Linked DNA regions of Drosophila melanogaster. Changing the gene in region 2 together with the main gene of any one other region gives a genetic interaction. Each region holds a gene or a part of one and is shown on either strand. Other genes may lie near its edges.

What was found.
Region 1: of Scm (region 2) and psq, changing one enhances a phenotype caused by changing the other (phenotypic enhancement), as found in Drosophila melanogaster (one study listed by BioGRID).
Region 3: of Scm (region 2) and gpp, changing one enhances a phenotype caused by changing the other (phenotypic enhancement), as found in Drosophila melanogaster (one study listed by BioGRID).
Region 4: of Scm (region 2) and Abd-B, changing one enhances a phenotype caused by changing the other (phenotypic enhancement), as found in Drosophila melanogaster (one study listed by BioGRID).

Annotation. Positions count from the first base shown.
Region 1 is NT_033778.4:10,556,086-10,560,917, reverse strand, and holds the start of psq (pipsqueak), read right to left. Parts: upstream 3,031-4,832; 5' UTR 2,542-3,030; exon of another isoform or gene 2,385-2,541; intron 1-2,384.
Region 2 is NT_033777.3:9,632,823-9,639,490, forward strand, and holds Scm (Sex comb on midleg), read right to left. Parts: upstream 4,790-6,668; 5' UTR 4,334-4,789; coding exon 3,788-4,333; intron 3,730-3,787; coding exon 2,812-3,729; intron 2,747-2,811; coding exon 1,715-2,746; intron 1,654-1,714; coding exon 1,516-1,653; 3' UTR 537-1,515; downstream 1-536. Other genes in the region: SpdS (spermidine synthase), read left to right, coding at 1-284. UniProt on the Drosophila melanogaster protein: Polycomb group (PcG) protein. PcG proteins act by forming multiprotein complexes, which are required to maintain the transcriptionally repressive state of homeotic genes throughout development.
Region 3 is NT_033777.3:6,405,044-6,409,865, reverse strand, and holds the start of gpp (grappa), read right to left. Parts: upstream 3,010-4,822; 5' UTR 2,775-3,009; exon of another isoform or gene 2,389-2,774; 5' UTR 2,092-2,388; intron 889-2,091; exon of another isoform or gene 288-888; intron 1-287. UniProt on the Drosophila melanogaster protein: Histone methyltransferase. Methylates 'Lys-79' of histone H3. Required for Polycomb Group (PcG) and trithorax Group (trxG) maintenance of expression. Also involved in telomeric silencing but do not in centric heterochromatin.
Region 4 is NT_033777.3:16,928,202-16,935,864, forward strand, and holds the start of Abd-B (abdominal B), read right to left. Parts: upstream 6,042-7,663; 5' UTR 4,831-6,041; coding exon 4,170-4,830; intron 3,413-4,169; coding exon 3,201-3,412; intron 3,117-3,200; coding exon 2,915-3,116; intron 1,652-2,914; coding exon 1,437-1,651; intron 1,380-1,436; coding exon 1,188-1,379; coding exon of another isoform or gene 1,029-1,187; 3' UTR 1-1,028. UniProt on the Drosophila melanogaster protein: Sequence-specific transcription factor which is part of a developmental regulatory system that provides cells with specific positional identities on the anterior-posterior axis.

The DNA.
Region 1 (4,832 bases), on a different chromosome or scaffold from region 2:
AATCAAAATTACTTGTATATGAATGAACATTCCATTCAAGCTAATTTATTTTGTTTTATTTTCGAACATAAGTTACCTTTTTTTTTAAAGCTTATGAGCTCAACGAATAGTTACTATTTTAACTTTATTTAGTGCTGGTCATGTCGCGTGGTTTTTAGCACCGCCGGAATGGTTTTGTTTTGCACATTTTCATGTAAAATGTTGGGCCAGGCCAGAAGGAAGAAAACCGAAACTGAAACCAGTTTTCAGTGAAACTTCATTTTTGTATGCCCTTTTAAAAGGGTATCATAGTATGGTCACATGTTTACAACAAAATAAATGGTATTTTCAAATAAAACGCTCTTTTTACACTACATTTTTCCATTTACTACTAGTTTTTAAATTAATTAACATTCAAACAAAATCCCCAAGTAGCAGTTAGAGTATCTGAAATCAGTGTTTTTCGGATTAAATTCCCTTTCTCGTTTTCAATGGCACGTATTGGTGCCTGCAAGTTGTTTTTGCTAGTTGGGGCATTGTCAAAAAAAAAAAGGAAGGAACATAAAAAAGAATAATAGGAATGCTGAAAGGATGCTCGAGGAGGCAACTTGCCGTGCAAATAAAATGGGAGGCAATGGAGCGACGAAGAGGCGGACAGAGAGGAGATGCCAACTTTTGCTTGCAACTTCCAATGCGGAGGCTAAAATGCAACCACAATTTTATGCCGAACAATAAGTCAGATTTTCAAGGGATTTCTTTATTACAAAGTTACAGTTGCCACAGTGGATACTCAAAGAGATGTTTTTGATTTGATTTATTCGAAATCTATCTTTGTTTACAAATTTCGAAGTCAAATTAAGAAAAATAATAAGAAAATTTATAGTTGCATTTTCCAAACTTGTTTTATTTTAAATTATTTGCATTTATTGTATATGTAAAAGTTTACGAGCTTAAGGCTGCTCCACTGTATTTGCATTTCATTTCGCAGAAGACTCGCAATCAAAACAAAACGGCGGCAAGAAAAGGTGTGAAAGAAAGAGGAAGACTAGGTGTTGCCACCCACTCGAAAATCGGCGGGCCTCTCAGCCGCGCTCTCTCCATGTCTCTCTCTTCGTTTCGGACAGAGAGACTTATCATTAAACGCGCATTATGCGGTCCGTTCGTCCGCGTTGTTACTGCTCTTCTTCTTACATTACTAGACCAATTCCACGTTTTTTTTTTTTTATATTGTTCGTCCCATTGTTGCCTTCTCGCTCACACACACACATGCAGCGATTTGCCGCCTTTTGGAGCCTCTTCTTCTGCATTTTCCCCGTCTTTCTCTTACTTTGTGCATGTTTATTTGGCAAATGGATAATGTGTGTTCGTGTTTTTTGTATGTTTGTGCTATTGCTTTTTCACTTTTTCTTGCCCTTTAATATTTCCTCACTGCACTTTATGTTTCTACACCCTACCCGACCTACGGACGGCCTATTGATTCTTATAAGATCTACATTGATGATTGTAACATCACTGCATAAGGCAATGTAAATCTTTATATAAAATGATAAGTACGTATAATTTAGAACTTAAATAAAATAAATTTATTCGTATTAATTATATATGAATGCTTTTAACAACCTTCATCTCCTACAAAAAGTAAGTGCTATACTTTTGGTTTATTTTATTAGCAATCTTGCACTTTGTACTAAATATTTATTGGATTTTGGATTGGATTTTGAGTTTTTTTTTAGCCGGCTAGAAATGTTTATTTTTGCTAGTTTTGCTTGACTTAATAAGAATAACAAGAGTTTCTGTTGCAGAATAATGAAATACCCACCCCACTGTGTCGACTGTGACCACTATCAAACCCTTTTGTACCCACTGTGGCATTCCAGGCAAACCAACTTCGTTTTCGTTACGTCTCCTCTTCACCCGTGCATGGTGTGCATGCGAGCGAGCGAGACGGCAATGTTGCGGGGAGAGAGAGAAGAAGGGGACAACGTAAAGTAGAAGAAGAAGAAGAAGAGGGGGGGAGGCAAAGGCGCAAGACAAATGACAGCGCGCTACGAAATGAGTGAGTGGGTGAAGGAGAGGCGAAAGAAAATGGATTTTAAACATTTTTGTTTTGATTATTATTGTTCTTGTTCGTCGCAAAACTTTGCAAAGTAAAAGGGGCAAAGGGAGCGCAAAAGCGGAGAACACAGTGAGAGAGAGAGTGAGAGGGAGCAAGAGTTGGTGAGCGGTGTAATGCAAATGTAATGCTGAACAATTACATTTGCCAATTGAAGCCAATTGAAAGGTTTGCAGTATTTTGTTGCTTCTTTCTTTTGCCCATTTATTTGCACCCATTTTACTGCACTCTGCAAACAACAAATATGTTCGGCTCTTATTTTTAGTTTAGTTTGTGGGGCCTCTGTCCTTACCTTTTCGCTATTTATATTTGATTTTCGCTGCTGCTGCAATTTGCCGCCTGCCTTTTTGCATAATAATAGAGGAAATACGTCAAAGAGTTCCCGTTACGTTGCGTATTTGTTGTTGCTTCTAGTTTATTTTTTTGTATCGTACTGTATGCGTATTTACCGCCAGTTTTGTGTTGTTGTTTTTGCTGCCGCTTGTCGTGTGTTTTTGTTGCTTCTGCTGTTTTTCGTTTGTTGGCCTTTTTGCTTTTCTTTTTTTTAAATCAATTATTGTATGGTTTTTTATTTTTATTTCTCGCTACGCCTTCTGCTTCTACGCTCGCTCACTAACACACGCGCGCACGCACCACACGTACACACACACACACGCATTGCGATTGGTTTTTCATAATTCGCAAAGCAAGAAACTTAAATTTGATTCTATTTGATTTTACTGGGCTGGCACGCTATCGCTACATATTTCTTGCCATTTGGCTAACCATTTGCATTGGCGCCGCACTTTGACCGCTTCATAATGGGCCGATTAAATTTCTCAACCGCGCTTTTCCGCACTCTTTTTCGCGCACGCACCGAATTTCGCTGGCAAAACGGAATTTAAAATAATAATTATTTTTTCAGCTCGTCGTTCATCGGAGTGCTCGTGTTCGCCATTTTCGTGTGGCGCTGCCAGATCGCCGCAAGGTGCTAAAATGTAGCAAAAGGTGCTCAAAGGCTGAAAACTACTTGGGTAGTGTTTCCAAATAGTAGATAACTTGCTTTAAAATTGAGTGAGAACTCATTTGGATTTTCTATTGTGTAAAAAACTGTATTATTTATGCAACTACTTATTAGTTTCTAACTAGGTGGCATCGCCTTATCGGGTCTTCTTTGCTTCGCCGCTCGATTCAGCTGGTCGTCCCGCTTGCACCTATTGCATTTCCTATATTGATTTTTTTGCTACGGACTTTGATATGGGCGCGCAGAAACTGAAAATTCAAAAAATTAAATATTACAAAATGTACGTTAATAAAATGATGTATCTTCATACATTTAATCAGTTCTTTTATAATGTGAAATCCATAAGTGCTTCCAGGATTAAATGAGTTTTTTTGCTTGTAGAATTATTTTATTTATAAATATAATGCTTTAAAATTGAAAGTTGGAGGTTTTCCGTAATACCAATAAAAACATAATATATAAAATGCTTTAGAAGTATTGAAATATACATTTATTTCAAGCATTTATTATTATTTATTGAGTTTGTAAAAGGATTTCTTACATGTAATATACATTTCAGAGCTGCCACCTAGTTGCGCAGCGAGCCCAGCGAAAGCTGGTTGCTATGAAAATATCGACTGTCATTATATATTATCGATATGTTGGCGCCCACTCAGTTCAAATTCGAATGCAATAGTCCCATAAAACTCGATCATTACACTGAATTTTAGAAACTCGTTTAATGCTCGTGTGCGTGCAAGTCATGATTGCTAAAATGCCAGAAACTCTATGTATTTATAATGAGCAAATAAATATTCGCCACCAACAGTGCTCGTATTTGCATAATGAAGGCGAAACCATTCAAATGAGTTGCACTTTTTCCGCTGTCTCAATTTGTATAAATATGTGCGAGTGGGTGGGAGTCGCCTAGCCCCCATAAAAAACCATAAAAAAAACGAAGCTAGCATACAAAACGACTGATTTGCAGCGTAAACCATATGAGTTTGTATGTACACATTTAGGTACATATCTATATATACATATAGAGATTTGCATTTGGATGCGTGGAGCCGCGGGTAAAAGCTAATAGCTAATGGAGAACTTACGTGCCAATTGACATTCATGAGTCCCAAGGCCGAATACATTAAAATAATTGCATGTTCTAGCTCCACGGCAATGGAATGGTGAATAGTGAAACACAACATCAGCAGCAAAAAAAAAAAATTAAACATACATAATTGTAGCATGATCGGATCGGGAAATAATTGCTCCGGTTTTCCCACTTTCCAGTGCGGAAAAATCAAACGAATGTGGGCCGTGGAAGGGGGGGCCTGGAAGTGGGAACCCATTGAGGTCGTTCCAGCAATTGACGTGTGCACCTATTTACCCGACGAAAAACACGCAGCTATGCTATGCCCATGTACATATGTATATAGTGTATATGCCTTATAATTATAGGCGCACATAGGCCACCGAAATACCCATCCCCCCTTTCCCCCCGCCACAAAACCCACAAACGCACCCTACTCCATTCGAAAAACCCCATTCGGCAGACCCATAAACATGCTATATGCATTTAAGCACACACATATCGCATTTGCTTAGTTACTTGCACTGCGGATTGAGTGGCGGGTGGAACTTTTCGTGTCACGAGGCTGAATCATTTGAGTTAATCGGTCAAATCTAAATATATATACTTATGCCAAAATATTATAGAATACCTTCCATATACAATTTCAAATATTTAGAATTCATTTT
Region 2 (6,668 bases):
CCCAGGGCGGTAGCTTCTGGCTGGACCTGGACTACATCAAGAAGACCATGTCCGGCTGCAAGGAGCACTTTGCTAAGGTGGCCTATGCCGTCACCTCCGTTCCGTCCTATCCCTGCGGCCACATTGGCTTCGTCATGGGCTCCCTGAACAAAAACCAGGACTTCGCTACTCCCAAGCTTGGAAAGTCCGAAATCGATTCTATAGACCTAAGGTACTACTCCTCCGAGGTTCACTCCGCCGCCTTTGCCTTGCCTCGATGGGTGCAGAAGCACTTTTACGAATGACCAGGTTGCGGAAAGATTCGTGTGTATCTGTTTGTTAAAAATAAATATGATAATAATATGACTTGTTTATCATCGCTTCTTAAATTCTTGGATATTTTCAACAAATGCTGACTCTTGCAATGATTCATTTTTAGTCGAATTTTTGTAGCCTGAGTATTTTCCTTCCAATCCGACTACCATCTTTCAGTTATTTTACTGTTGAAAATAGAACAAATTGTAATGTTTATTACGTAATGATATATACAGTTGGCTCTATTTAATTTTTGTATTTGTAAGTGGATGCTGGGTTAACATAATGAGACTTATTGCAATATTTTACACGACCGAATGTTACTCTCATTTATATATCGCATATATTGCAAAACTTTGAAAGGAAGCGTTTCTTATATGCAAAAATGACCTTAACTGCATGTGAATAATTAACTAAAAACTGATATTCAATTTCAATAACTTAATAGAAATTAAATCTTCAACCTGTTTAATGACTAATTAAATATTGTTATAGTTAGGAAACGCAATTGATACATAATTACAAAATTAGATGTAAAATATGTACAATCATTTAATATTGGTTTTTATTTTCTCGCCTATTCTAAAGTTAATTATCATTTCTTTTGTGTCGGATAGATTTTGGTGTCTAATGTGCGTGTTTTTATGTGTAATAAATATAATGTATGTGCATTGCGATTTTGGTAGCCGAGCTCCAGTTTTCGAAAAAGTCGAATCATTTTGTGTCCAATTGAGAACTATTTCACATTTTTCGAAATAGATGGATAAACTAATTATTGTGTGTGTACGAATACTCCACTCCTTTGACTGGGTAAATTTGAATAAACCTATAAAAATTCCTAATTCAAGTATAATAATTTTGTCTAAATAAATCAATTTGTAAATGTGTATTCCAAAAAAAGAATCACGAGCAGTTGGAAAAAAATTAATAATAATGGTTTTGAAAACCGGAGCTTGACTGTGTATAATTTGTTATGCGATTGATTTTGTATAGGGAATTTCATGTCTTCGCGATTACATTTGTTATAGCGTGTTTTATATTATCAATATAATAAAATAGGGTAGGGGTTTTTTCTTCATGAATGGCCAACACATAACACATCTATGAATATCGTTCATGTTTGCTTTGCTTTACGTTAAAGGGAGGTACTAATTTGTTAACAATTTCTATATAAGTCAAACCCGAACCGAGTCCGCTGCCTGAAACTTAATGTTTTTCTGTTTAGAGTGCCAGATTATTTCGACGACCATTGACCTTATTGACTAAATTGCAGATTTTTAAGGCTGGTCCTAGCTTCAGGCCCATGTACTTCATCATCATCTCTGAATTTAGCAATAATAAAGCTTTACCATCGATTTCCTACAGACGAAAATTAGATAAGTTACTTTATTTAAGGTAATTGGTAATAGCTACTACTTACGTGCTTTCGGAAGAGATCACCATGAACTGCAAGGGAGTTGTCGTTGCTCTCGATGTACTGGATCACCTCTTCGATGGTCCAGTCGATCGGCTGCGACCGCAGATGTGAGTTTGCCAAAGCAGAAGTGGGCGTGCTCACGGGTGAGGTAATCGCGGTGTAGCTCGGAGAAGCTCCCGCAGTTGCCGCTGCTCCAGCCGGCGCGGTGGCCGCCTTAGCCGCTGTAACTCCACCTGCAGCCAGTGCAGTGGACGAGGCTGACTGGCAGCCCGTGAACGGCGTGGACACGGATGTCGGCAACGAGGCGCTTGACGAGAGCGTCGTCGGACTCTTGTAGTAGCTATTCGAGGGCTTTACATTGGCCTGCTCTGGATGAACTTCTGCCACAAGAGGTGCCAGGTATTTGCCAATTGTGCTGGTGTTCGCCGATCCTCCGGCTAGGCTCGTGCTGGACGACGTTGACGAGCTGCTGCAATGGCTGGTAGATACGTGCGTGGTCTGGCTCGTATCCTGGTTTCCGTTTGTCGCAGAGCTATTCGTATTCGTGTTTGCGTGGTGTTGGAAGCGTACTTTGCGCAGAGCCTGCGTTGTGGAGGAAGTCTGCGCGTTCGCTCCGTTGGGCTCCGATTTGATGACCACCTTGTTGCTGGACTTGCTGGCACTGTTGTTGTTATTGTTGAGACTGTGATTGCTGTTTTGCTGGCTTGCAGGCTCCTTGCCATTGTTCGTCGAAGTTTTCGACTTGGACTCCACTGGCGATTTGACAGCCAATTCCTGCTTGATAATCTTCTCAGAGGGTGATGTCGTTGCCGAGTTGGATTGACGGTTTCGCTTGTCGGCGAGCACTGGCGAGGAAGGCGGTGTGGCTGACTGAGTCAGTTGACGCTTCCGACTATTGGCGCACTTCTTGCACTCCTCCGTCTCGTGGACCAAGGAAATGAGATTCGCACATGCCCGGCATGTAGTGCACAGCGTTTCGATGAATTGGGCGAGGCTTTCGTCATCCTTCATTCGCATTGGCGATGGTATTTTTACCTTTAAGAAACGAAGAGTATATTTTAAACATGCTTTTCATTGAATTTAATTGATCTTGAACTCACTGTGAAATTTTTCCCCGCTGCCGTCACGATATGAACATCTCCTTCCAGGGCAAACAGCAACTTTGAGAGCTGTTGCGTATCCGTGCTGGCAGCTAAAACCTCCTGCAGGCAAAGCTTGGCCAGCGTTTGGTAGGTGGGTCCCGTCACCATGCAGGGCAGTTTGGAATTGTTGATGAACGGACCGCCCTTGCAGTTCGGATGGAAGTGGGCTGTGGCAGGGGAAGCGGGAACCATAGCCTCGGACTCAGCTACAACAGTGTAGCGGGGTCGAGGGCATCGCTGTTTGCTAGAGCTGGAGTCCATGCGCGATTTATGGCCCGGTGGCTGCATGGGATGACAACTTCTAGCGCACCAGCCGGCGGGAAAAATGTCACGCGATCGGTAATTGCACCAGTAGTCGAATGCCCCTCGCCAACCATCGAATGTTACATGGATCTGATCATCCTTGATTGCATCTACTGTTGCACAGCAGATGAGCTGCGGGTTCTTCTTGTCGACAGCCTCGAGTTTCTGGCCCACCTTGAACAGGTTTTCTTCTGGCTCTGGCGGCTCTGGCTGGAAGATCTCTTCTGGCGCCACCATGGCATTGTTGAGGATCTTGCACAGATAGCCGGGCCAGCTGGATGCGTTCATGCGGAATCCCAGAGGCGGCTGCAGCATGCCACCGTTCTTTTCACAGTGTCCAATAGCATGGATCTCCGTAGAATCGACCAGCCGCCAAAAGTCATTCTGGGAGTCACTTCCATCCAGGCGTAGCCGCAGTCTGGAGCCAAGCACTCCGACCACGGTGGCAATGCAGGTGGAAGTGACGTTGCGCGGATCCAAAGCCTCCAGCTTCATTCCGATTTTAAAATCATTGTTGGGAGGATTCTGAGCCTGTTTGAAACATTTTGCAGGAGCAGCTTCGCTACCCGTTTCCTGGAAACCACAAAAAGTATGAGATTGGGGGTTAAAGCATTATCCCAGCTTGACTTACCTCTAGATAGGCATCCCAGTCGAAGACGTGGAAGCTCTCGTATTGAAAGGGCCCCGTTGGTGCGGGCGCTCCACTGGCCAGCAACTTGCGCTCGCTTTCCGCCAGACCCTTGCCCGATGCCGATCCGCCGCTGTGCCTGGTCGAGCAGTTCTTCTTCTGGTGCTTGTTCATGCACATGATCGAGCAGAACTCCTTGTTGGGCGCCCCATCGCGGATGACGTTGTCGCACTGGGTGCACGCCCCCTTGCTGTACGCCTTGCGGAACTCGGCAATGCATGTTTCCGAGCAGAACTCCTTCTTGCCGGTCTGCGTGGGCAGGACGTACTGCAGCGGTAGCTTGCCCTCGCCGCACCAGGTGCATGTGGCTCGTTTGGCCGGTCTACCTCGTTGCCGTTGCGTGGACGCGGGCGATGTTGTACTTCCAGGGGATGCGGATGTGGATGTGGAGGAGGCGGATGCGGATGCGGAGGAGGTGGCATTCGTACTGGCCCCTGGCGCAGCAGAATTGCTCCCGCTACTGGTACTGCTATCACGTCCGCCCGACATGGTTTCTCGCGTGGCTGTCCTAGTAGTCGCACTTGCTGATTCGCGCCGGCAAGCCCCTTGGCATCTCAGGCGATTTCGATTTCGTGTGTTCCGATCCGGCGGTCAAATCGCATTGCGGCTGCCTTGAATCATTAGCCACCAATAGCAAGTTTTGTTTTGCAGCACTAACTTTCCGATTTCTTTCGATTTGGCCTGGCGAAATTTTGCGGCGTTCTTGAGGTCACGTAATAACAAATTGGTGGCCAAATCGCATCGCATCACCCAACGAAAACAAACGCGAGCCGCACAATTAGTTTCTGGTTCACCAAATATCGAGCTTTATATTTAGAGCGCTGCGCGGATCTTGTTACTCGGTTTCAATCCGAAATTAGATGATTTTGAGTCGCTTAAACTCCAAAATGTTAGACTTTTTTTACTTTTACGCTCGGTTCCGCCATATTTGTTTTTCTAGTGGTGACATTCAGATCTTTGCGCATATCGATAGTTGCTTACCTGTGACAGCTCACGAAGCGATGAAAATAATCAACTAATGTGACTAATCGAAAAATGTTATCGAAGCAACTAAATGCAATTTTAAAATAACGTTAAATGGGAAATCACATAACTGACAATAAATAGTCAATTTAAAGAGCAAAGTAGATAATGCTCAATACTTTTACCACAATGTTGTATTTAATTTAACTGCTAATATAAATAAATATTTGTCATTTTTAAAAACGTAAGCCCTTATTATAGAAAAGAAATTTGGATTTCCTGTCAAAAATTGTACAGCGTAATGTAAAAACTATTTAGTCTAGTAAACTGAACCGTTTTGGTTTTGAGAATATAAACTTATAACCGAATTCCTACGTTTTAATATCAGCTCATAGTATTTCCCAGTAAAACTAACAAAACGCTCGTGAATCAAATTTGCACAGCATCAAGTGGGCGTAAATTGGTGAATAATATAAAAAGTCTGTAAATTTGAAAGCGCACGGCACACATCAGCCGAAAATCAAAAAAAAAAAAATGGGTTAGTCAACAAAACTAATATCTACCAATTTATAGAACGCTCTGGTATGTAAACATTTCCATTGAACTGGGAGAAATTCGCAATAAAGCGGTTCAGATAGTGGAAAATGGGTTGAACAAGGGAAAGTTTTGATATTTTAATAAAATCATGTATAACATAGGAAAGCGGTTTTCGTAATTACCAAAACCATGAAACAATCAATACTGAAATACAAAAATATGTTACTATCAAAATAATGGCTTATACGATTGGCCTAAGGCTTTATTAGGTCAAGCAAATTAATATTACTTGCTTACCTTTCGTTAATTTTATTTGCTGAAGAGCGTCGCAAATGTCAAGAAGTCTAGCAAATTACTAGAAATTACATAAGTGTGTTTCGTTTGCAGTAAATTCAGTAAGTCGAAAGCGGCTCAAAGATGAAACAAGTTGGAAAAACTTTTCTGGGATTAGCCGAAATGTATATTGGTCAAACTTTTTGGCTAACTTCTGCTGCTGTTTGATTTTTGTTCGCTTTGCCTAAATGGTCCGTAACTTGATTTAATTGATGTGCTTCAAAGAATAATCCGCTCACTTAGTCGCGTTTCAAAGATAACCAACTGGAAGCCAAATATTGCGGTCGAAAAACTTGATAACACTGTTAATTGAATGTTTTGAAGGCGGCGTGATGTCCCTCTTTAATAATCAATAAAGACATTCCTAATTATTAATGATTAAACTTGACCGAAACCAAGTTCCCTGACACTCACACAATCGTCAAATCGCGCATAATTGGATGGGACCATCGGCTGCCCATAACAAGGATAATTGGATGAAATGAGGCGGCTGCCTTTTCTGCTCCTCATTAAATGCCCGTTTACCGTTTAGTCGCCTGTCAAATCCTTGATGGGCTATTAGAAAAAGGGGTGTCCAGAGACGAGTTCTTGAGTCATTGACTTGTTACGCAAATTGGACAAAAGAAATTTCTGGCTCCGAGTGGGCACTGGAGTGGGGATTGAACTTAATAAGCATATTCATTAATGGGTGTACAGAACCAAGTACAAGGTTGCATCTTACACCCTTATGGATATCCTTTCCTTCTTGAATCCCTAAGCAAAAGTAATCAGGCAAGTAGCTAGACTTTACTAGTTGCTCTATTAAAAATTAAAAGTAAATTAAAATTGCCTCGCACTACCAAAACAGCATTACAGCTCGCATAAAAGCACGTATAAATTGGCGGGAGTGGCATTTTGACGGAATTCAATCAGCCATAAAGCATCCTGCTGGGCAGGAAATGGAGGCGTTTGCCTACGTGCTTAATTACAAGCCGACGCATGCACATTCTGC
Region 3 (4,822 bases), 3.2 Mb from region 2:
TGGCATTGTTTCGCTTTCGAGTTTCCGCCATGAAAGTGCAGACCTCCAAAATGCAACTATTTCTGTCTCACATAGATACACAGCCAATTCGCATTAGTGTGAGTGTACGCCGTGACACAGGCAACCGAAATTGTTCATAGGATATTTTTATAATCGAACAATGTGAAAAGTAAGTTTTCTGGTTTCAAAATAATATTAATTCGTTTTCTGAACACATGCTGGCTTTTAGTTTTTAGTTTCTACCGATCGAAATTGATTTGTAATAGCAAAAAATTAGTTTTCTTTTGATGACTATAGAAACAGCGCCAAAAAGCAACATCGTAATCTATGAAAGAAGAAGAATCAACCAGGAAGAGAAGCGGAAGATAAGAGGGAAGCAGCAAGACAAGAAAAGCACCCAAACAGAAAAAACGTTACCAATACACAGAAGCATGAGCTGGCAACGGTATCTCTTCTTTACATACCCACATATGTACATATTCAGGCATCAAAAGCTGCCATGAGGAAGAAGAAGAGGAGCAAGAAGCGGGCTAGAAAACGAGGAAGAAACAGTAGGCGAAGTGGAGAGCGAAGTGCAATGGCAACAACAAAGTAAAACAACAACAAACTCAGGAGATAAAGTGGGAAGCAAAGATGCCTGTTTTTCTTACTTGCGACTATGTGTGCGTGTGTATTCAATGCAGCAGCGGCAACCAAAACAACAATCGAAGTACAGTGAACCGAGAGACTCGAAAAAGATGTAAAAACACAAGTATGCAAGAGTTAAACAATTCTTAAAGTTAACTGGGGTGCTGAGGGAGAAATGTAACTTCTTAACAGAGTAACAGTGATTTGTAATACACACTATTTGGAATAAATACGCGTGTACTATTAATATTGTTTTTAATTGCTATTATTTCGTAACATTTTTAGACAACGTTGAAATTTTCAAGTCAAATCAGAGACGAAATCGTTTCGAAAATAGATAAGCTTATTGGGAATTTGACTAGTGCATATTTCGTTTATTATCCCATTTGGTCGCTTTTTGAGTTAGCAAAAAAAAGTTACATAGGTGAATGACAAAAGTCAGTCGATGCTGTTGCAACAACTTTTAATTGACAGAAAACTTGCGGTCAGGATAAATGGTCGAAGTAGCCAAATGGCACGCATGTTTCCCAAACCCCTCTAGGCATAAATCTACATGCATATGTATGCACATACATGCATACAAATACAAATGTTTAGCCGGTTCAACTAGTTGTTAATAATTGGTTTTTGGTTTTCGATCCTTTTGCCTGTAATCAACAAGAAAAAACCCCTCTAACTTAGCTTTTGGCACTTTTCCTATTTTCGGGTCTTGCATGTTCCTTTAATTGGATTGTGTTTGCTACCACTGACAGCATTTAAAACTTTTTATGGACGTAACCAAAATCACAGAAATCACTGGTAAATTAGTGAGCCCTGTTGGAACTCGCATGACTATTTAAATGGCAATGTTTATTCATTAGCAACCCATTTCTCATCATAATTCAGTCAGTACATGAGCATTTTAGTTGAAAACCTTGTTACTAATCATATTAGTAGACAAAATGAGAAATCATTTTTAACCAGTTTAATCATTTAAAAACAACAATGTTTACAACATTCTGACAAACTAAGATCTTATATTTATTAATTTGACACAAAGTTACGTTGTGACCGTGTCAAAAAAATTTTTACGTTGTTTAAAATCTGCAAAATCTGTTCTAAACACTGCGTTTAATACTTGTGAGCTTGAAGCAAATAAACATAGTTGTCAAACGACTGCTTATAAAATATCCACTTTAAATTTATAGCCCTTATATGACACTTGTCTAAGGGCGAGCGCCCACTGTCTTCCCACACGTTATAATTAACTGGCCCAGATTGCGGAGTATCCGGCACATGGGAAACCGATAAATAAATACGTTTGACTTTTCACAACGTCTGAGTATAATATTACACTTCCGCTCTTATCGGAGAGGCAAACAGTAGGACCAGTGAACACACCGCCGTTAATATTACACATTTTCAGAAGAGTTCTTCGCTGATTTAAGTTCTTATTTCGCGTTCGGTTTAAAATATATTACTCACATTTCGCGCACTCAGCGCTCTGCTTCTTCTCCCTCTCTCTTTGCGCTTTGTCAATTGATTAGCCGTTAGCCGACGCCTCTCTCTCACTGCTCTCTTTAAAGGTTCTTGGTTTCTGTTTTACTCCATTCGATCTTGTTGTTGTTGTTGTGGGTTTTGGTTGTTTGGTGTTGGTTGCATTCCAGTTTAGAAGATGGGGAAGACGAAGACGTTTGAAACCGCAGTACTCTGATTAAGCAATATGATTAACCTTTGTTGTATTTCGCATTTACTATGTAATATAAATTTCGTTGTCAAGCGCTGCAAGAAACACGGAGATATACAAGATTACGTTTGACACTTTAGATTAGCTTTTATTCTTTTTCATACACAATTGTATGCACACTAACACACGCGTGTAAAAAACTCGCGACGGCTGCTGCTGCTCTTCTTCTTGCTCCTCCACCTCTTCTTATTTTTCAAGCAGCAGCCTCTTTTTCATCGTCGCTTTCGCTCTGCTCTTCGCTTCGTATATTTCATACAATTTTCTTTGTTGCAATTTAGGCATTTGTTTTAGCACACATGCACACTAAACACAGGCACGAACACACAGAGGTATTCACAGCAAATTACATTTTGCAGCTCTTTCACGCCATACTGATTTGCCGCCTCGCTCTGGCTCACACACTCACACTCTGGCTACTCACGTAATTTAGCTAACTTTTCGTATTCTTCCTTTGCAGCCAAATCTCACAATTGGATCACTTCGATTCGCTGCGAGAACAAGCACGAGTATTGTATTGTATAATTAAGAATTTTTCTCCGATTTGCTACGACCCCAAAATGTTTCAGTACACACATACACCACACACACACGCGCGCGACGAGGAAGACGACGCAACGACACGTCCGTTATGTTCCAGCGAAAGAAAGAAACAAAAACACAAAAGGGAAACGGAGAATCCCTAACGGGTGGCGGAAAAATGCCTAACGCTAAAATGGAATCGAATATTCGATTGTTCACCACGATTTAATGGTGTGATTTTTCTCAAAATTGCGTTACTTGAGAAATAATTCAAAGCGATTAAAAAATAAAAGCATAAAATTGTGGAAGACATTGGTAAGTCCATGCAAAATTGATCGCTGAATGCATTTCTCTTTTCTGGACTTCTTACTATCTTTAACGGGATACATGCAATCTATTTGCAGATTTTTTAAATTTTTACATGATACATATGAATATTTTTGAGCTATTTAATTCAGAAATTAGCGACGTAAGGGCGTAAAATAAACACACATACGAAAGCAATTTACGCATTGACCATTCCGTTACTTAGTTTTAACATATGCCTGATATCAGGATATTCCATTGATTCGAATTGGCTTTGGTCCACTGTCCGCTAAACAATATTCAGTGTGCCCATTCCGCGATTGTATCCATTAGTGTGAACAACTCGTGATCGAAAGTGGACCCATAAGCATAAATTAGCGTTAATCATAGACTCAAATTGAAATATATATATTTAACACTTTCTTGCTTTAAAGACCGTGCTTTATTTATTCCAACTTACAAGTTATTTTTCCTTTTATTTTTAAGTTCTAAATTTCAAATTATTTCCGTGGTATCAATGGAAATAAAAATTTGTTTAGGTTGTAAACAAAATGCATCGAAAATATCAAACCAAGATAAAAAAGAACTGATAAAGCTGATGTGTACTATGGATGATAGCTTGATTGCTATGAATAAAATATTTATATTATCAATATCAATATTATAATATCAATATGAAAATATGAAAACGGTCTGGCAGCACGGTTCCAAGCCAGCGGGACCGTTTGGCGGTGTGACCAGCTGCTGACACTTTCGGACTCTGGTTTTCTTCGTCAAGAAGGCGTCGACCACACTTACTTTGTGTTGATTTTTAGCGGCGGTTGGTCGTGTGTCGGATAAAGCGGAACGAAGACGAAGGCGAAGAGCAGACGGAGGCGTCAAGTCAAACAAAAGTAAAGTGCAGCAACTGGCAGCGCAGACAAGTCGAAAGGGCAGCCAATTAAATGTAAGAAGCGACGTCCGCTGCTTTACAACAAGTATCGCTGATTGTCCAGCCGAGTAACAGTATTTTTCACGAGGTGCGCAGAGCGAAAGGAAAATCAAAGAGGAAAATCTAATACACAAAAAGTGAAGAGCCAAATTGTTGTTAACAGAGTGTGTGCGTGTGTGTGCTGAGTGCGGCAGTTGTTGTTTTATAGGTGAGAGAGAAAATCGGAAAAAAGGGCGTCGCAGTTTGAAAATTGATGTGTGCATAAAAATCAAGCGCTGCAGCAGCCAAAAAGCGAGAAGAGAGCGCGAGGCAGAGAGCGTGCAAAGCGGTCAGCGAGAGAGCGGGTGGCTGCTGCACCTTCATAACTGTTGTTGCAAAGGTGAGTGCGTGCCGAATATTGTTTTTGGTTCAGAATTGTTTATTTAAGTGTACTCTCAACCAGGCCAACACACTCACAACCACACGCCCGCACGTACCTGCGACCCACGAACGTGTGTGTGCGTGTGTGTTGGCCTGCCTGCTTATTTTTTATGCGGAAAAAACATTGATCCAAACTTTTTCGGGCCTCAAGAACCTCATTTTTGGCTCGCCCCACAAGGCATTAATATCTGTTGTGAACCGAAATGGGTTTAAATAAAAGCTGGTCAGCAGATAAAAGTGAATCCAATATATATGTACGTACATATGTATGTCTGTAGGGAGCCTTTGTTCAT
Region 4 (7,663 bases), 7.3 Mb from region 2:
ACTTCTGTTAAGTGTGTATCTTTTAAGTTTTTGTTGCTTTAGCTTTACGAGTAGTTTTGTTAAGTGTTTTCCTTGGTTTAAGAGTTAATTTAATTCGAAAGCGACTTCAACTATGGGGTAAACATGCACACACTCATTGAAATTTTTGCAACTTACAATTAACCATTTGCTAAAATCGAATCCGAGTTCATATTATACAAATATTGAATATCTCTGCGTGTACGCAATATACATATACATATATCTGATGTAATTTAGTTATCGAGTGCTCGCTTCGGCCGGAAATCAGCGCAATGTCTTAGTTTATATACAGGAACTTAGAAGGTATCAAAGGACACGACACGACGAACATTATACGACAAAATTTATCCTAGACTGCGGAGTGTGTCTTCTTGTTTGCGGAGCTGTGAGGGGTCCGAAAATTGTTAAACAATTTCAATTTGTGTTTCAAGAACATTTATCTGGGTCTAAAATGTGTTCTGCTGCTCAGCCTAACTCAGCCGCCTTGTGGCCGCTCTTAATTGGATAGGTATGGTAAAATCTACTACTCGAACGCGTGTATTCATAATTTATGCGGGGTTATATTCACTGACGTTTAAGTATATTCATATTCATAATTTATAGTTCGGAAAATTCATAGTGCTCGCCTAGGCTAATGAGAGCGTTGAGAGAAATACGTACATACATATATTTTCGTACAGTTGCGAATTTCAAGTGCATCTGCTACTGCTGCTGCTTACTCTTCATCTTACTCGTATCTATATTCAACTACCGAACTAAGCTGCATTATCGTGTTGGGGCTTGGATCTCTGGGATCCGTAGAACTGACTTAATAATAAACTGCATTTGCATCAACGTCGGTTGGTCACACATCAGCGACGCCTGCGCACTTCTGGGCAGTTGCTCATCCACATCCTTGCTCCTCATTGTGGTCACATATTCCTATCCCGCATGCTAGAGATCTCTGGTTTTTGTACATTTAACCGACTGAACTCGGCCTGGCTGGAATCGCCCTTCCAATCGCTGGACTAGCATGGAAAGTCCATGGCCAGCTCGTTCTTGATTAGATGATGGTGATTCGGATCGGACATGGGGTTGGGATTCGAGCTGGGGTTACCCGAACTCGGATTGGCTAACTGCTAGTAGGTGGCAAAGCCCATGGCGCCAGCGCTGCTGTTGTCCAAGGGTCACTGGTGCATCTTGGCGGCATGGTGACCCATGTTCAGGCTAAGGTTCAGGTGGTGGCCGCTGTGGTGCTGCTGGGTCGCCTGCGCGTGGTTGTGGTTGCTGCTCGAATTGTTGTTGTTGTTCTGCTGATTGGCCTGGCGCTGTGAGTTCTTCTTGTTCTTCATGCGCCGATTCTGGAACCATATCTTGACCTGAAAGGAACGCCTGTTTAATGAATTCAGTTCAAGTCAGTAGGTTTATGGACTCACCTGTCGCTCGGTCAGCTGCAAATTTCTGGCCAATTCCCAGCGCTTTTGCTTGGAAACATACGCATTGAAAAGAAACTCCTTCTCCAGCTCCAGGGTCTGGAACTTCGAGTACGGCTTGCGCTTTTTCCGGACGGACACCTGACCGGTCCACTCGTGCAGTCCGGGATTGGGCGTGCAAGGACCCACTGCTCCCACGGATAATCCACCAGAGGCTCCTGAAAACATCATCAAGTAATGGGGTTAAACTACATGGTTAACTTCATTAAACCGCAAGTGCGGGTGGTCCGATGGTTTTGTTGCTCGGTGTTCGGTGCAATATCAGATCGTTAAGTTTATAGAGCAATTACGGAAATTGTTTAGCAATAAGCGTAATACGAAATTATTCAATTCCTCATTTATGGCCTCTTAATTGGTGCGGTACGGGGAGCGGAGCTCCGAATTGGCATGAGGCCCATATTCACACTCGAGTGGATAACACTAAATGAATACATTCGTTCCCGCTCATTGGCCGACCAAATGAAGCAATTAAATTAATGTTGAAATAAAGTGACAAGTTGGATTTATTTTAATTTAAACGCTAGTTCAGCACGAGTGAAGAGCTTTTCGAATCTAATCTGATTTCTTCGATTAGTCTTGGTAGCATTGAACAGTTAGGACAGTTAGGTCAGATTGGAAATTAATTATCGAGCCTAAGAGACCTGAATTCCAATTGTAAAATTGGCTGGCGAGGTCACTTAACTGACATATTCCGCCATAATAACGAGTCTTTACTATGGATACCATGGATACTACTGGGAAAATATGACTAGTCGACAGATACAATTCTGGCAGTTGAAAAACACCTGGTGATAAGACACGAACATAAACAGGCAACCCCATAGAATGCAAACCCCAATGACTTTCGCACCCACATAAAGGCGTAACGCTAGCCAAATAGCGAGTATCGATTTATGGGCCGTTTTGCACTACGCTAATTGAACGACAAACTTGACGGTTTCGCAATTTGCTATTTCAACCGATACGACGACGAAAAGTCTAGTGCACATAGGAAAATCAAATAATCTTGAACTTTATATTGTAGGATGCTTAATATTTTAGGGCTGTTTAAATAATTGGCTTGGCTTTTAGGAAAAAAAATAATAGCACCATATAAAAAACACTTCCAAATAATTATCGATTCATTGGAAAATTTGACGGTCTATAAATATATATTTTACAATTAAAAACATTTAGGTGGAATTTGAACGCCTCTTTTTAAACAGAATTTTGAATTCGTATAATTTTTCACTTTAATTTAATTTCATATGAATAACCAAATATTTTATTAAAAATTTTAAGAATTGTAAACAGTAAATTTTTAATTTTTAATCTTTAAAATTTCTCCTCCCAAACTAGAGTTGCAAGATGCTCAAAATTATTTCCAGTGTGCCTAACCTCGTTACCCTTAAGTGTGCCGACTCTGGCCGGTCTGGACTCACCTGAGCTGGAGTAGTTCTCGCTGGGATAGCCGCGCAGGCCGCCTGGCGAGGAGTAGGTGGGCGGCTCATAGCTGGACGTCGATGTGCCCTCGACGGACTGTCGGGCGGCGGCGCTCACGTGGCGCTCCGCTTCGTTCATGTAGGCCGCCGCCGCTGCGGCAGAGGTGGTCTGATCGGGGCGGTAGTTGGGGCCCCAGTACTGCTGCGGGGGAGAAATGAGGTCGGGTTGGAACGAAGTTGCTTACAACTGATGTGGAGGCGTGGGTGGCGCTGTGGCCATACTTACACCAACCGGAAACTGCGTTTCTGGGTAAGGATAGGCGAACATGTGCTTGCGGTCGTAGTACCCGGAGCCGTAATGCTGATTGAATCCCTCGTCGTTGTAGGCCCAGTGTGCCGTGTGCCGCTTGACCGCCGCCGAGGTGTCCGTCTCGAATCCCGGACCGGCCCGGATGGCGGGTATATGCAGTGGCGCTAATTGTATGGACATATTGATGTCTGAAAGTAAACGATAAGCGCAGATTTGCTGCTGTTAATATTGGCACTAGGGCTGGTAAGTCTAATTTTAACGACTGTCTATGATCAAATCGACCTCCTTGATCATTTGGCATTTTATCACTTGGCGTGGCATTTGTGCCTATAACCCTTAGATTGTTTGTCGATGTCATGGATGTGGGTGCATTCACACCTCGTCTATATATAAATCTGTATATTTAACACGTGTCAACACTTAAGGTAATAAAATGGTTACCATAACGATTACGTTTCAAATCATCGTTTAATTTTTTTTTTTGTGTAAACTCTTTAAAAAAAAACCAATGCAGTTTTGAAGAACTTCAGTACACTCACAAACAATATTTTTAAAAATTTTTAATTTCCTTACAAAATTAAAGTTGTTACCACCCTGCAATTATATAGTCTATAATGATAAAACAGACGCAAATATTTTGAGTAAATAAATTAAATGCGTGACGATTCCTGGGAGAGTTAAAGAAAAGCCTTATCAGCCTTGAAAAACGTGCTGCAATCAGCACAACTGAAACGTTATTGCAACTGGGGGGAAAAAAAAACAAGTGGAACGACCCCGTTCCCAATTTAACGTCCCCAATTTATTTCGAGAGTTTTCCAGTTCAGATGTAGAAAATTTCAAAAAATATATTTCCCAACGATCTTTGAAAGCCCATAACCAATGGAGTTCCAATAAGAAATCCGCTGGTTTTCAACCCCAAGGAAAGTTATATTTCTGGGACCTCACCTTCCTTCTGAGAACTAACACTGGAGGGAGAAACACTCGCCGTGGTCGGCGCAACGATCTGCGTCTGGCCAGGAGCAACTGCAGCATTCTGCTGTTGCTGCTGCTGCTGGAGATTCGAGGAGGCGCCGCTGGCGACACTGTTCGGGGTTTGTTGCTGCGGCAGTTGCTGGTGGTGGGGCGATGTGAGATGTTGCTGTTGTTGGGCGGAGGGTCCAGTGGGTGTTTGGGCAGGACTGAGGGCGCCGGCCACCGGTGTTGTCGCCAGCTGTTGTTGCTGCTGTTGCTGCTGCTGTTGAAGTTGCTGCTGCTGCTGCGGAGCGGGGAGGTGTTGCTGCTGTACGGCGACAAGTGGCACAGGCGGAGGATCCTCGTACATAACCGCATGCGTGGGCGTGGAATGTGTGGTGGGAGTTGACTGCTGTTGCTGCTGCTGGAGCACCGAGGAGGGTGAGGAGGCGACGACTGCATGTTGCTGCTGCTGTTGCTGCTGCTGCAGGTGGGGATGCGCGCTGTGGTGATGGCTGGTGGTGTGGAGAGGCTGAGGCAGGTGGTGGTGCGCATGGTGATGCAGTTGCTGCAGATGCTGCTGCTGCTCCTGCAGATGCTGCTGCTCCTGCTGCTGCTGCTGCTGTTGCTGCTGCTGCAGATGGTGCTGCTGCATGACGGGCAGGGAGGGATGCGCCTGGGGATGCGGATGCGGGTGCGGGGCGGTGGGTACGTGGGTGTGGGTGTGTGTGTGATGCCCCCACCACGCCCCGGCAGCGGCGTGCGACCCGACTGCCGAGACATCGTGGGGGTCGTAGAGAGCGCACGCCAGCGGGATGGTTGGGGTTTGGGGGAGGGGTGGAATATTTACGGTTATCTTGGACGCGTTGCACTCGAACTGCGGCGGCGAGGATAAAGGCGGTGCAGTGGGGTCGATCGCCTCGACCCACCGACCTTTCTCTGTCTTTTTTTTCTCACTCCTCTGAGTGACGCCTTTCTAATTGTTTAAGTCTCTTTATATTTTTTTCGCGACTTAATAATTTTTATTTTTAATATTCAGAGCACCTTTACTCGAGTTTTGCCCCTTTTATTTGCGTACCGCACACGCACACAAACGTCCGTCAGCGGTCACACGCACACGCCGACTTACTCACACACGCACACTGCCTAAAGAGCGGGCGAAGAGAGTAACTTTGTTGTTGCACAGGGGATCGAATCAGCTTGAATTTCACAGGGTGCTTGCGGTCGTCAGCAACTCACGCAGTATTTTCAAATTGGCTTTTTTCAGTTTTCATTCGGTCAATCCAATTTTCCAAAACTTTTCCAATTTTTCCTTTGTCAGTTAATGTTTTCTTTTCACTTTTCTTTTTTTTTCGGTTGGCGTTTGTTTTTGATTTTCTTCTCTCTTTTATAATTATCATAAATAGTTTATTATTTGTGGGGCCTGCAGTCGTTGTTGTTGCTGCTGCTGGCGTTCGCTTTTTATGTTGCTGGTCATAAAATTTGATTTTACGACCAAAACAAACAATTAAAGGCAATGTTTGCAACAGTTAACAAAAATGTTATTATTTCTCCTCACAACGCCGGCGACACGATGTTTTGATTGTGTTTTTTGTTTTTTGATTTAATTTTTTATACGACTCCAAAAACGTTTCTTCTTTCAGTTAAATTTTTCGAAAATGTTCAACTTGTATTTTTCGAACCGTTCGAACGAAACACTCCCAGTCGAATGTGAATGTGAATGGACGGCGAGTACGAAATCGTTCAAGTCCCAGTCCTCGACGAAGTTGCAGGGCCGCTTGCCTCGGCTGTTGTTGTAGTTGCTGTTGTTGCTGCTGGACGCCCGCGCGCCTTCCAACCGAACAGAGCGAAGCACAAATCTACACTGACGGCAGCAACGCGCACGGCGACAACATATCCACATCGCTGGCACGGCACACCGACAACACAAGACCAAGACCAGAACCAGAACCAGCACACGAACACAAACTCTAAGCGCAGCGGCGCCAGCCCGCTCCAGTGTGTGTGTGTGTGTGTGTGTGTGTGTGTGTGTGTGTGCCTCCCCGTCCGTGTGACTTGGAAGAGAGCGCGGACATGCGCATGTTGCACAAGCACTCAGATTGATGGTGGTGGTGGTTGATGTTATGTTGATGGCAGTTGGTGCGGCTCTCTTGTGGCGCGTTATGCACACGTACACTGTATACAGCGTCTGTGTGGATCCCAGACTGTCAGCGAGTGTGCGTGTGTAAGTGGGGGGAGCCGAAGAGAGTTTTGGATGTTGCTGGGGGAAATAGCACTGTTTCAACTAGCGCCTTCAATGAGGTAAAGATGGTATCGCACTTCGACTGGGACTGGCTCTGGAATTCGCTGAGCTCAGCAGGTGCTCCAAGTCACAGGGGGTCATCGAGGGCGAAACACACACGCACAGTGTACGTGTGAAGGCATCCGCTCTTCAACGAACAAAAAACGCTCTCAGACTCACCGCCCGCTCTTACTGCCCGATTCTGGGGGCTGATTTGAATACTTAACACGCGCGCACCACAGCGCCATCTATGTCCGAGATTTCGATGGAATGGGGGCGGGGAGGCGTGGTAGATGGCACCACATTGTGTGTAGTTAGTTGGCTTGTTGTTGGCGCTTTTTATCGATTACCACAACAGCAGCAACATACAGAAAAACTCACTGCATAAAGACCATGGATCGCGACCAATTATACGAGTCGTCAAGCGCAGTGACTAATTAATGCTAATTAGTTAAACAAATACATGCGTGCGCCAGTTCAGTCAGCAAATTATGACAGCCCAATTGTTAGGAAACCCCGGGTCTCTTTTCACCCCTATCTCAACATCCTTTCTCCCTTTTGGCTCTTCTACAGATTCCCCTCCTTGTCTCACTTCCAAAGGCAGTTGCCAAATTTTACGCTGCAATGGACAATTATGGGAATTTTATGGCAATTGCCATTGGAAGAAAAGCAAAAGGCACGCAGTCGAGGCCAAGGAAATGTTAACAAATCGTAAAAAGGATGCGATGAGAACAACTCTCAACCCGTTTGACAACAAAATGTATGTACAATCGCATAAAAATCCATACTTAGCAATTACAATAATACATTTGAGCAGGGGCTTAAGAAAATGTCAGAAGTCATCGCGACTGGAGACGAATAATATTATTTCTTATGTGAAATCAGAACATTCATTTTTAATTTTTCACATCACGCATTTAGTTGAAGAGTCCAACTGCTTACATAACAAAGTTGATCAAGTAAACCCCAAAAAAACTTCAAGAATTCTACTTATAATAATACAAAACTTGTAATTAACTGCCGCAATCTATTTCCAAAAATAACTTCTTCGATTGAAATTATTATTCAACTTTTTTATTTATAAATAGAAATAAAGTATGATTGACATTTTTCCTATTGAACCACTCTGCTAACACGCAGAATTATTTTAAAGGGATAAACTCTCTGCACAATAGCATTTTATAATTATTAGTAGCATTTTAACGCC